Arabidopsis thaliana: one gene and its partner. The protein of the gene in region 1 interacts with the protein of each later gene in a pairwise test. Each region holds a gene or a part of one and is shown on either strand. Other genes may lie near its edges.

Region 1 (6,013 bases):
CCCTATCTCTCTCTATCTCTATATCTCTTTCTCTCTCTACTGTTTTGTGTTCTTCTTCTTTTAAAAATAAGCCATATATGAAATGATCTTGAAAAGTATGTCTCTAAGGTCCCCTCTCTGTCTCTATCATTTTATTTTATTTCGATTAATATAAAATAAAGCTACTTTTTTTCTTTCTTATAATTTAATTTGACAGAATTAAGAAGGATGGTTACGGTTTGGGTGTCACTGTTAAAACGGTGAAATGTGTCCACATGCGGGGGTGTGTTGTGGGTACCACATTTTTCTCATTCGTATCTTTCTGGTGAGCTTTAAGACAAAACCCTCGTTTTCTCTTCATTTAACTTGATTAGGTTTTGTTGTACTAACTTTTTTTTAATTGTTTTTATCTAATAAAATCGTTTATAATATAACATATCGTATATTAATACACATGATACACCAATCAATAGAGAATTTTTTAAAATTTGTTAGATTCTTGTATGAAAATTAATATATTGCTTTTCTTCTTTGGTTCAATTCTTCAACCTTTCAGAATGTTCAATGCAAAACAATCGAACCGATTGGTTTTGAATCAAACCTAATTAATCCTGAACGAGTAACCAACTCTCAACCGATCTGAATAGATTTTAAAACGATATATCACAAAATCTCCAATATCACTTTAAGAGCTTTGAGAAAATATTATTGATATATTATTATTCGACCGTAAAGTTTGATTTTCTCCTTTTCACTTGGGCTTTTTAATCTTATACAATTTAGTTTTATTTTAGTTTACAAACGACAACATATTTAAGTAACAGGTGACTTCTCAACTTGATCCTCTCTTCATTACCATCGATGCTTTTTAAGTTATACTGAGATCGTACCAACTGCAATGGGTCAGTGCCGGGCCATATTCAATCAGGGCCTCCCTGATTGGGTTGTAATATGATTTCAAGTTAGTAATATGAAATAGCACACAGTCACGCACACAAAAGAGCCTATATAAGGAGAGATATACCACAAACAGCCCAAGACCCAGTTGTTTTAGATGAACCAAAATTGTATGGAAATATTTAGTATTTGAAACTGCCGTCACCAAGATGGCAAGGTCAGAGAAACTCAATAACAACTCTGTTTCTGCCATTCCGAGAGTTAATATTAATTTTCAGAGTTAATGGATTAGCTAGTAAACATATATATACAAATGATAATAACCTGTAGAATGAGGATTAAGATCGAGAACGACGAGGTTATCTTTACCGCAACATTCCAAACGTAGCCAAAGCTCTATTACCATACCCCTCAATGTACATATCCAGCTTATAAGACTCCTATCCAGTATCCACCATCCAACGAAACACACTCTCAGATTCTTCCACATTATGAATACATGTCAACCAAATAATTTCTCACCTCAACCATCATTTCAAAACCAAATCTTCAAGCAAACCCCATGGATTTAAAAACCCTTTTCAAGTGCGTCAAACAAACCACAAGCTTTTAGATTTGTCGAGAAAGTGAAGTCGTTGGGCCCATTTCTTCGGATCCCTTAAGTTCACCATTAAGTACTCATTAGAGCCCATTTCTTGGGGCCCATTAAGAGATTAAGTCCGCGCGCATAGCTTTTGGAGGATGCCGCTCTTTTGTAAGAAGCAACACGTTGTTGAGTCTCTAACCTTTCTTTGAAATCTTGACCTTTCCCTTCCTTCTCCGCTAAATTCGTTTTAATTTCATCTTCTTCTTCTTCTTCAATTCGATGCAATAATAGTCACTTCAATCTCAATCTAGGGTTTTCAATTTTCTTCATGTGAATTTTTTTTCCCCTTCTTCTCAATTTCAATTCAATCTGGGATTCGTAAATTCTCGGAAGATGAAACGCGATTTCGACGAAATCTCCGAGGAAGAGTGGTCTCAACACTCGTTTAACGCTTCGCGAGTTCTTAAACGACCACGGACTCCGAAGAAGACTCGCGCGGCGACGAATCCAACGCCGTCGATTGAGTCTTTTGCGTTTAGGAGACCTTCGACGGCGATGACGATTGAGAGTAATAGCAGCGATGGTGATTGTGTTGAGATTGAGGATTTGGGAGATTCGGATTCGGATGTGAAGATTGTGAATGGTGAGGATTTGTTGTTAGAGGATGAAGAAGAAGTGGAAGAGACTAAGGTTGTGATGCGCGCTGCGAGAGTTGGTAGGAGATTTGTGATTGAAGATGAAGAAGCGAGTGATGATGATGATGATGAGGCTGAGAGTAGTGCTAGTGAGGATGAATTTGGAGGAGGAGGAGGAGGAAGTGGAGGAAGGAGAGGAGAAGATGAAGATGTTGTGGGGAAGGCATTGCAAAAGTGTGCTAAAATCTCAGCGGATCTTCGAAAAGAGCTTTATGGTACTTCTTCTGGTGTTACTGATAGATACTCTGAAGTTGAAACTTCTACTGTCAGGATTGTCACACAGGTACTGGAAATTATCACTTTGGTGTTCTTAAAGTAGTTGCTTTGAGACGATTTAGAGTGTCTTCCTTATACAATTGTGAAGTAACTTTTGATTAGATAGCATATTTTGGTGGTAAGCTTTGATTGGTTTGGTTAGAGTTTACTGTTTTGTTAACTAAAACTTGTTTACTTTTGGGTTGAATCTGTGATGATCGCAGAATGATATTGATGATGCATGTAAAGCAGAGGATTCTGATTTTCAGCCTATACTCAAGCCGTACCAGTTAGTTGGTGTTAACTTTCTTCTTCTGTTGTATAAGAAAGGAATTGAAGGAGGTATGTGTTTTTACTAGTTTCGATCTGTAAACCTTTTTAGCGTGAATGTCACTTTGTAACTCACTTTCTATTGTTTGTAGCCATTTTAGCCGATGAGATGGGTCTTGGAAAGACCATTCAGGTGCATTTTGCTCTGTTATTACTGGATAAGTTTTCTTTGTTTCTTTATCTTATAAAGAACTAATTTTGTTCTCATTTACCTTAGGCAATCACATATTTAACCCTCCTAAGTCGCTTAAACAATGACCCTGGTCCTCATTTGGTTGTATGCCCTGCCTCTGTCTTGGAAAACTGGGAGAGAGAGCTCAGAAAATGGTGTCCGTCGTTTACTGTACTTCAATACCACGGAGCTGCGAGAGCAGCCTACTCAAGAGAATTGAATTCTTTGTCAAAAGCTGGGAAGCCACCACCATTCAATGTGCTTCTTGTGTGTTACTCTCTGTTTGAACGGCATAGGTGCAACTCTTGATGCTTTTATTTGCTTTTTGGCTTTTCCTGTTACTCACAGATGTTGGAATTTTACAGTGAACAACAGAAAGATGACCGAAAAGTACTGAAACGGTGGCGCTGGAGCTGTGTTTTGATGGATGAAGCCCATGCGTTAAAGGATAAGAATAGTTATAGGTGGAAAAACTTGATGTCTGTGGCCAGAAACGCAAACCAGCGTCTTATGCTTACAGGAACGCCTCTACAAAATGATTTGCATGTACGGTTGGTTTCTGTTGATTTTTTCAGGATCTAATTACCTAATATAGACGACATTTCTTCATGTGGTCATACAATGCTTATTCCCTGCATATGTTTGGTCTATGCAGGAACTATGGTCGCTGTTGGAGTTCATGTTGCCTGATATATTTACGACAGAGAATGTTGACTTGAAGAAGTTGTTGAATGCAGAAGATACTGAGTTGATTACTCGAATGAAATCTATCTTAGGTCCTTTCATCTTGAGGCGTTTAAAATCTGATGTCATGCAGCAACTTGTTCCGAAGATACAGCGGGTATGGATATATCTATGCACAATTAAGTACACGATATTAATCTTCTAGCTGCAAATCTCATTAATTTCCCATCAATCCAATGCAGGTTGAATATGTATTAATGGAGAGAAAGCAGGAAGATGCATATAAAGAAGCCATAGAGGAGTATCGTGCTGCTTCTCAAGCACGGCTTGTGAAGCTTTCATCAAAATCCTTGAATTCTTTAGCCAAGGCACTTCCAAAGCGTCAAATTTCAAACTATTTTACTCAATTCCGGAAGGTAATTCTCAGCTACTAATACAAAGCCCCTTTTGTGCCAAATGAGTGTGTTATTCATGTGTTATTAAATTTTGGTTGTACAGATTGCAAACCATCCATTGTTAATTAGGCGGATATACAGCGATGAGGATGTCATTCGCATCGCCAGGAAATTGCACCCAATCGGTGCATTTGGATTTGAATGTTCCTTGGATAGAGTTATCGAGGAAGTTAAGGGTTTCAACGATTTCCGTATCCACCAGGTAAATGTTTCTCTTTCCAAAAGCAGTTGAATATCCATTAACAAACATGTTATGCAATTGAAGAAGCTAACTAACTTGTTTCTTTCCATAGCTTTTGTTCCAATATGGAGTTAACGATACCAAAGGAACTCTCTCAGACAAACATGTCATGCTCTCAGCAAAATGTCGGGTACGTGATATTCTTCTTCATTTCATAAGTCTTCTTTGTGAAACTGATTAAGTATAACTAAACCTGTGAGCGATCTAAATCTCCCTTTATGTATCAGACATTAGCTGAGCTTCTCCCTTCAATGAAGAAATCCGGCCATCGTGTTCTAATATTTAGTCAATGGACATCGATGCTCGATATCTTAGAATGGACACTTGATGTCATCGGCGTTACATACCGAAGACTTGACGGCAGGTAATAAAAGAAAAAAGAGTAATTTGTCACATTTTTGACGATTCTACAAAAAGGAAGAAGCTTAAGTCATTTTCCTTTTGTTTTCAACAGTACTCAAGTTACAGATAGACAAACCATAGTCGACACATTCAACAACGATAAGTCGATATTCGCATGTCTCTTGTCAACTCGAGCAGGTGGACAAGGTCTTAATTTAACCGGAGCGGATACAGTCATTATTCACGATATGGATTTTAATCCACAGATTGATCGGCAAGCTGAAGATCGTTGCCATCGTATTGGTCAAACAAAACCAGTCACTATCTTCAGGTTTGAGCTTTAAATCCTTGAATCAGTTTAGATAACTTTCAGAACAAAATTGTGGTTTGGATTGGTTTATGTGTGCTCTGTTTTGTATTCTCACATATATCTGTATTAACTCTGGCAATGCTGGTGCAGACTGGTGACGAAATCGACGGTTGATGAGAACATCTACGAGATAGCGAAGCGGAAACTAGTTCTTGATGCGGCGGTTCTAGAGTCCGGAGTTCACGTAGATGACAACGGAGACACGCCTGAGAAAACCATGGGAGAGATTCTTGCTTCTCTTCTCATGGGATAACATTATTGTTACCTTTTTTGTTTTGAGGTAAAATTAGTCAAGAAACGAAGTTAATGTGTTATTCTAAACATGTGTAACCACTAGCTATTATTAGACTTAAATTTAATAGATCACGATAGTTATATTTTCTTCTACGCATGTAAATTATAACCCAAAAATTTCCTTCTTTAGACCTAAAAGTCACAATTGTTCCAAACACTAAAATGTGGATCAGTGATCAAATGAAGTGAACCTTCAGGATAGTTTAGTCTTCGATCATCAAAGATTGTATAAAGGAGTGACTTAGCTGTATTTGTAGGTATCAAAATTGAAAACCTCACGCAATGATTAAAGGTCTCAAGTATCTTTATTCGTCAGAGTTGTATAAGACACAAATCTCACTAGATTGTTTTCCCATTGTCTTTGCCGAAACCTAACAATGAACAACTAGTTCTATTAGGATTGGTTCAAGAATGTCACATAGTATAAGTTTTTCTTAGCTGAAAAATTCTAGATAACTTGGAATAAATTCTAGATAGTCTTTTTTTTTTGCTACATTTGAAGATAAATATCTATGAAAATGTTCAAATTCATGATTATATTATTGCGATTAAATAATTGAATATGACTATACAAAATAATTCACTAGTAAATCAAAGCCATACTAAGTTTGGATTCTTTGTGGTAACTGCCATTGCCAAGTCACGTTTTGAAGGTGTTCTCATGGTCAATTTACACTTAAAATTGAACCTGAAAACTAAGGCCAACCGGAAAC
Region 2 (5,947 bases), on another chromosome or scaffold:
GAGGAAGGTGTTAATTCTCTACTGGAGCAATGGAATCAAGCGAAGCATCTCAAGTCATAAAGGTTTATATTTGCATTTACCCGGTACACTCAAAAATCCCAGCTCTTTGGAAGTTTGCCTCTTTGCTTACATAGTTGTATTTTCGAATTTTGCTAATCTGAGGTCTGTACTTTGCAAGTTGCAGGAGATGGAAAATAAGTTTAGCGTGTAAAGGATGTCAAAATGCAAGGTTCAACAATTGTCTCTCGTCTTTGATGCAATATATGGGTCTTAGAATTGCGAAGTAGGTGTAAATTAGAGGAGGATGGCGTCACATTGGGACTCGAAGTTGAAACTATGTTTCTACACTTGACGGTTCAACATTGTAGGAAACTAAGTAACAAACATTGTTAGATGATTCTAAACCTTAGAGAAGTTTATGAATTTGTGAAGAAATGAACACTTTGGCTTAGTTAAGAGTCTTTCCACCAATAACAAACACTTAACTGTGTCTAATATTCCAAAATCACAGAGCAGCAGTATTTCTTATCTTTCAAATTGGGTTATTCACATTTTGTCAAAGATATCTGTCACAATATCACTCTCATCTCTCATGTGTTTTATTGAAAAAAAATTAAAAAAATTGAACGAAATAATGAAGAAGGTTTGACCTGTCACTTGTCAGAAAGGATAGAACATAAAAGAATGTATAAAATTACAAGATCCCTTTTTATGGACCGAAATTATTACACAATGTAATCAATGTTGAAAAAACAAAGATAGAACCTAAAAATTTGGTTAGGGACGAATCTCATCCCAGTTGGAGTCATTTACAGATGCCAAAGCAAGGAAAAAAAAAGTGTATGTAGGAGAAAAAAAAAAACGAGAAATAAAGACAATTAAACTTTGCAGAAATTGAGTTGTCCATTTATTGTGTTGTTTGCTTCTGTACACCCACCCACCAATGCGTACCTCCTTTTTTACACTGAAACACCTGATTCAAAAGCTCCACCTCTGTTCATGTCTGGATCTTTGGACGCTCCTCTCGCCTGATGTTTTCCTTGGTGCTGCGACCAATACCCGTATGCCCTCAAGACTCTGTCTAGCAGTTCTTGTGGCACCGGCTCTCCTCTTCGTTGCTGTGGGGATATACTTGCTGTGTGAACTAGCGTCTTCCATTTGTCCTGCATATTCACATGTTCTTGAGATATTAACCTGACTGTAAGACGTGATATGTTCCAGATTACATGTTTGTGTCTGATGTGTTTACCTTCAAGTCCACGTAAGTCCGATGATCTGCATCCTCGAAAGCACGCAATTTTACATCACGCCATCTGTGTGATCAGATATATCGACCATTAGCTTTTGAGCTTTGACATTATCCCACGACCAAACTACATGAGTTATGAAAGAACTAGTGTTATATACCTTCCAGTCCCGAGTTCCTCAACTGCTTGTACAAGAGCTTCTACCTCTGTCACAGAGAAGGGTCTCCTAGTTCTCCTCTGGGCTAGCTCAGTACGCTTAGGTTTCTGGTTCAACGGAACTATGGCAAGCGCCTTGACTTCCAACTCTGGAAGTGGGACAAGCTCTTTTGAATCTGATGAAGGTTCATCAACAGATATGTCACCCTGATATGGAACTAATTCGAGGTTACTGTCCACAATATTTCTTGAATCAATCACGTCATCTGCATGTGGAATTCCAGAATCTAGCATAGGAGACGCCGCAGACCTGGGATGATAATTCAGAACCGCTTTTGCTTAGGAATCTTCAAGAAGAATGAACACCAGTGATATTCAACTAAAGCAGCACAAGGATATGATAGCGAATTTCTTAGTACCGTTCAGACAAACTTGTAGGGTCGGTTGGCACAGCAGGATCTTCAGAACACAAAGGTAGGGGAACTTTGCTGGGACTAGGCTCCAAGGTGAACCCAAGGTTGTCTAGATTTTCATCACATGAGATCCCAGTCTGGGACAGAGTTTTCCTTTCATCTCTAACCTTCTTCCCATGCATTAACACCCCAACACGTATTCCTCCGCTGAGTAAAACACTGACAGCCTCCATCACAGTCCTCTGCAACCAAAAGGGTCAAAGAGCAAAATGGTAATTTGTTAACACCTCAATGTCCACACAAGAGAACCAAACAAATGTGAAGAAATACATATTGGCATATACCTTTAGTGATCCTACTGTTGCAGTTTCTGGAACTTCAATAAAAAGCTCTGGAATCCTAAAGGACTTAATGCTTAGCTTTACTGCACCAGAGATAAAAATACATGAGAACCACATTATCCTGTCTCCGGATAAATGTCTCAGTATCATTTACCATCCAGTCAAGTACCATGGGAGCCTTTTGAGAGGACCACAACAGCTAAGATAAGATAACTGAAGAGTTTTGAGATAGACTACAATAACCACCTGTATCTCCCTTCTTGGGTAACTTGGAAACACTTCCACTACTGAGTCCTCCATCAGAAGTTACGACCGAGCTTCTGTCAGGTGATCTTCTTCTCTTATAAATGATCTCACGCTGCCATGCGTTGTAACCATAACATGATTTTCTTTTGCGATAAAGAGTCTTCACACCCACATCTAGACATCCATGTTTAAAGTAAGAACAGGGTGAATCACAAAAAGAAGAAATGTGTTCAAAGATAAGTGAAGCAGGCTGTGTTATACTTACCAGCTCTACTGTATCCAAAATCTTTTGGAACTTGTTTCCAGTATTTGGACGACATGGACTTTCTTATTCTTCGAATTGTTGGAGACCTATACGACTTAAATTTATTGCTAAGTTTATGGTAACTATAGAATTTTTCATCATCATCTTTTCTACCTAGGTTAGTATGGTTCCCATGTCTAGCATAGGAACCATTAGGGGTCATATCCAAGGTGGATGGTGATTTTAAATCACCACCCACACAGACTGATTTCGGAAACTGCAGACCTAACGCAGTTGCATCCTCTAAGTTGCAAGTATCAGTGACTAAGCCTCCATCACCCACGCGATCGGTTGCTTCTCCTTGCTCGAACCCATTATTTACATTCTTGTTTTCACACCCTACATCCATCAAACCATGAATCTTCTTGTAATCAGACATCGGAGTCCGCTCCAAAACGCCGTCACTATCCGGAAATGAAAAACAACTGTTCACCACACACTTCTCAGTAGAGATATCATAAGTAGGCTTTGACACAGAGTTTCCTTGGTCAGAAGACTCAGATTTAATAGTCTTGCAATTTTCTACTTTCTCTTGCTTAATTTCTTCAAATGCATTAGAAGACGCAGAGGAACTCTCGCTTTCCTGTAGAATCTTTCCAGCCAAAGCTAGTAAGTCAATTGCACAGATCTGAGTGTTATCATCATCATGATCAATCCTCTTGTTTAGAACCTTCCTCTGGAAAAAAAGATTCATCAGAAGGCAAATTCATGACATTGAGCTAACAGATCCAGATGAATCAAAATTTACCCTGCATGAACGAGGAGCTCTGGGAATGTTGGGAAAATCAAATCCCACGGAAAGGCAATCTAACTTTCTCTTGAACACCATCTCTCAAATATGCATATCACTAGCAACACAAAAACAAAACAGAACAGAACAGAACACTGTAAAGAATCAGAAAGTAGCAACAAGAATCATAAACAGTAAACACCAATTTAGATCAGATCAACACGACCAAATCCGAGCCTTTGATGTAAGAAAGACACTGAAACAAGAAATGGATCACGCAAATGGAAAAGCGTTGGTAAAATTGAACAAGACTCAAATGCTAGAAGCTGCTTACAAATTCAATTATAAGATTCGAGACAAGATGAAAAGAAACAGTAACCTGATCAGATCTCGAACAAATTATTTCGACCCGCCAAAGAAATTTAATGGAAATTTGAAAACCGGATCAGAGTCAAAGGATCAAAAACCACCCAAAACCCCAAGAATTTTACAGATCGGTAAGTGAACAAGTCAATTGCGATGAAAAAACTCACCTATCAGCCACCAGTTTCTTGATCACGATCGCGAACCACTTATTATTACAGATCACGCTATCTTAAAACCCAAATTCCCCCATACCCGATTTGTGTGTTTTATGTATATATAAAACAATGTACAAAGGAAAAATTAGAATCGATTTATACAAAAACTCGAGATTCTAAGATTTAAAAGAAATGAAGAATTCTCGAGTTATTTTTTTTTTGTGTGTGTTGCGGTAAGAATCCGTCGTTGTCTTTAGAAAAGAAAGAAGGAAGATGACGTGAAAAGCCCCATTGAAACAGAAACCCCTTTTTTTATAATCATTCTTGTAAATTAAAATAAATTAAAAAAGTTTTTATTGACCACACAAATAACAACGGGTTTGAGATGAGGCAGTTGTTGTAAACCGGTAAACCGGCTATTGACGGTCACCCTTGTAAATTTATGGTAAAACACTAAAACCCCTCTCTCCGGTTAACAGGCTATTGATGGTAACCCTCTCTCTCCGGGAATCATCAGTTCATAACCCCTTAAAGAAGATAGGTTTGTCAGAAGAATCTTTATTTTAGGGATCGGATAAAAACAATACAACAGTGCTGTTTGTGATTGGAGTGGGGTCCTTTTTAATATACTAGTACTACAAAAGCTGTCTTTATCTTCCACGTGGGTAGAGAAAGCCTGTGACAACTCCATTGCTTTGGTAATAACGTCGTCACAAGGTTTTTTAAGTGTTCATTCAACTTGAGTGATAACATGAATTTCTTGATGAGATTACATGTTGAAGCATGTGCTAATGGGGCCAAAATGAACGTGTTATGTGTTTTAAGGTATTTTGTGAATGACAATGTTCGCGCCAATCTTATGGCTATTTTAGTGGGACTAAACTACTAAAGCATATGCTTGGCTAATTAATGTAATGAGAATCGAAATGGGTTGAATCAAACATAAATTTATGGCCGGCTGTTGAATCGAATTGTTTGTTTAATTATGTCCGTCTTGGACTTCTGAGAGTGTCTGTCTACTTCTGTGGCTGGCCTTGGAGACTTGGACCCTTGTAAATTATAACCATTCATGAATATGGGCCGCATGACGATTAGTAAATGGGTCGGATCGGACCATTCTATTGGAAGAGGTACAAGGAAAATGATCAGGCATACTACATACATTCTCCACAAACATGGACTAATCATTCTATGTTCCTTCTCTAATAAAGCTTTCACTGAATTCATGATTAGTATGTAAACCATCGTTGATTACAGTTTTATAATAATTAGACGTTATATATTGGGAGAATGTATGCATGCATGAAATATTTCAAAAATTCATATATAGATCTTGTTGTATCCTAGCTCGTTTCACTTTTAGTTTGTAGTTTGTACTAAACAAATACTGAAATACACATGCATTTCTTTCGCTTTATATAAAAACATATACACATGCTGCATGCACTTCAATCATATTGAAATCTCTAATTGGTACATTTTCGTACGATTTGTTGATATACTGGATTCATAGGTAGGTAAGTGGATTTATTTAAAAAGGCCAAATTTAGAAGAAAAAGAAAAGAAAAGAGAATTAGAAGGCAAGATATATATATATATATATATATCTTGCGCGGTTGCATGGTTAAGCATCAAGGCACAAAGGGACAACAACGACATTCTATAAAGAAAAAAGACGAAGCATCAAAAGGGGTCTACGGAAATTCAACATGGAGTATGGAGCTTAAAGATTTTTTCAATAAACCCATATAGTTTTATTATGCTTTTGTATGTTAGAACCTTGAAAACGTGTGGTGCCAAATAAGGAGAATAGTTTTATAACAGTATTTCTTACTTTAATGTTTATTTAATAAATTTAATTCTGAGTTACTTTGCTAAATTTTTTATTTTATCGAATTTTAAGATGAGCGTGTTAATATAGTTATACAAGTTTTTTCCCTTTCTATTCATTTATGTGACTTTTGTATTCATGAAATTTTTAAGATAGAA

The links. The genes of interacting proteins can lie anywhere in the genome.
Region 2: the proteins of ETL1 (region 1) and TRFL9 interact in a protein complementation assay, tested with the Arabidopsis thaliana proteins (one study listed by BioGRID).

The regions. Positions count from the first base shown.
Region 1 is NC_003071.7:521,626-527,638, forward strand, and holds ETL1 (SNF2 domain-containing protein / helicase domain-containing protein), read left to right. Parts: upstream 1-1,597; 5' UTR 1,598-1,855; coding exon 1,856-2,440; intron 2,441-2,636; coding exon 2,637-2,754; intron 2,755-2,834; coding exon 2,835-2,875; intron 2,876-2,959; coding exon 2,960-3,210; intron 3,211-3,279; coding exon 3,280-3,460; intron 3,461-3,569; coding exon 3,570-3,755; intron 3,756-3,840; coding exon 3,841-4,014; intron 4,015-4,096; coding exon 4,097-4,255; intron 4,256-4,346; coding exon 4,347-4,424; intron 4,425-4,521; coding exon 4,522-4,658; intron 4,659-4,748; coding exon 4,749-4,967; intron 4,968-5,096; coding exon 5,097-5,259; 3' UTR 5,260-5,443; downstream 5,444-6,013. UniProt on the Arabidopsis thaliana protein: DNA helicase that possesses intrinsic ATP-dependent nucleosome-remodeling activity and is both required for DNA repair and heterochromatin organization.
Region 2 is NC_003074.8:3,981,313-3,987,259, forward strand, and holds TRFL9 (TRF-like 9), read right to left. Parts: upstream 4,314-5,947; 5' UTR 3,971-4,313; intron 3,593-3,970; exon of another isoform or gene 3,556-3,592; 5' UTR 3,537-3,555; coding exon 3,456-3,536; intron 3,384-3,455; coding exon 2,669-3,383; intron 2,578-2,668; coding exon 2,404-2,577; intron 2,241-2,403; coding exon 2,161-2,240; intron 2,059-2,160; coding exon 1,823-2,058; intron 1,714-1,822; coding exon 1,408-1,713; intron 1,314-1,407; coding exon 1,250-1,313; intron 1,164-1,249; coding exon 960-1,163; 3' UTR 568-959; downstream 1-567. Other genes in the region: FDM3 (XH/XS domain-containing protein), read left to right, coding at 1-60. UniProt on the Arabidopsis thaliana protein: Binds specifically to the plant telomeric double-stranded DNA sequences. At least 2 repeats of telomeric sequences are required for binding. Induces DNA bending.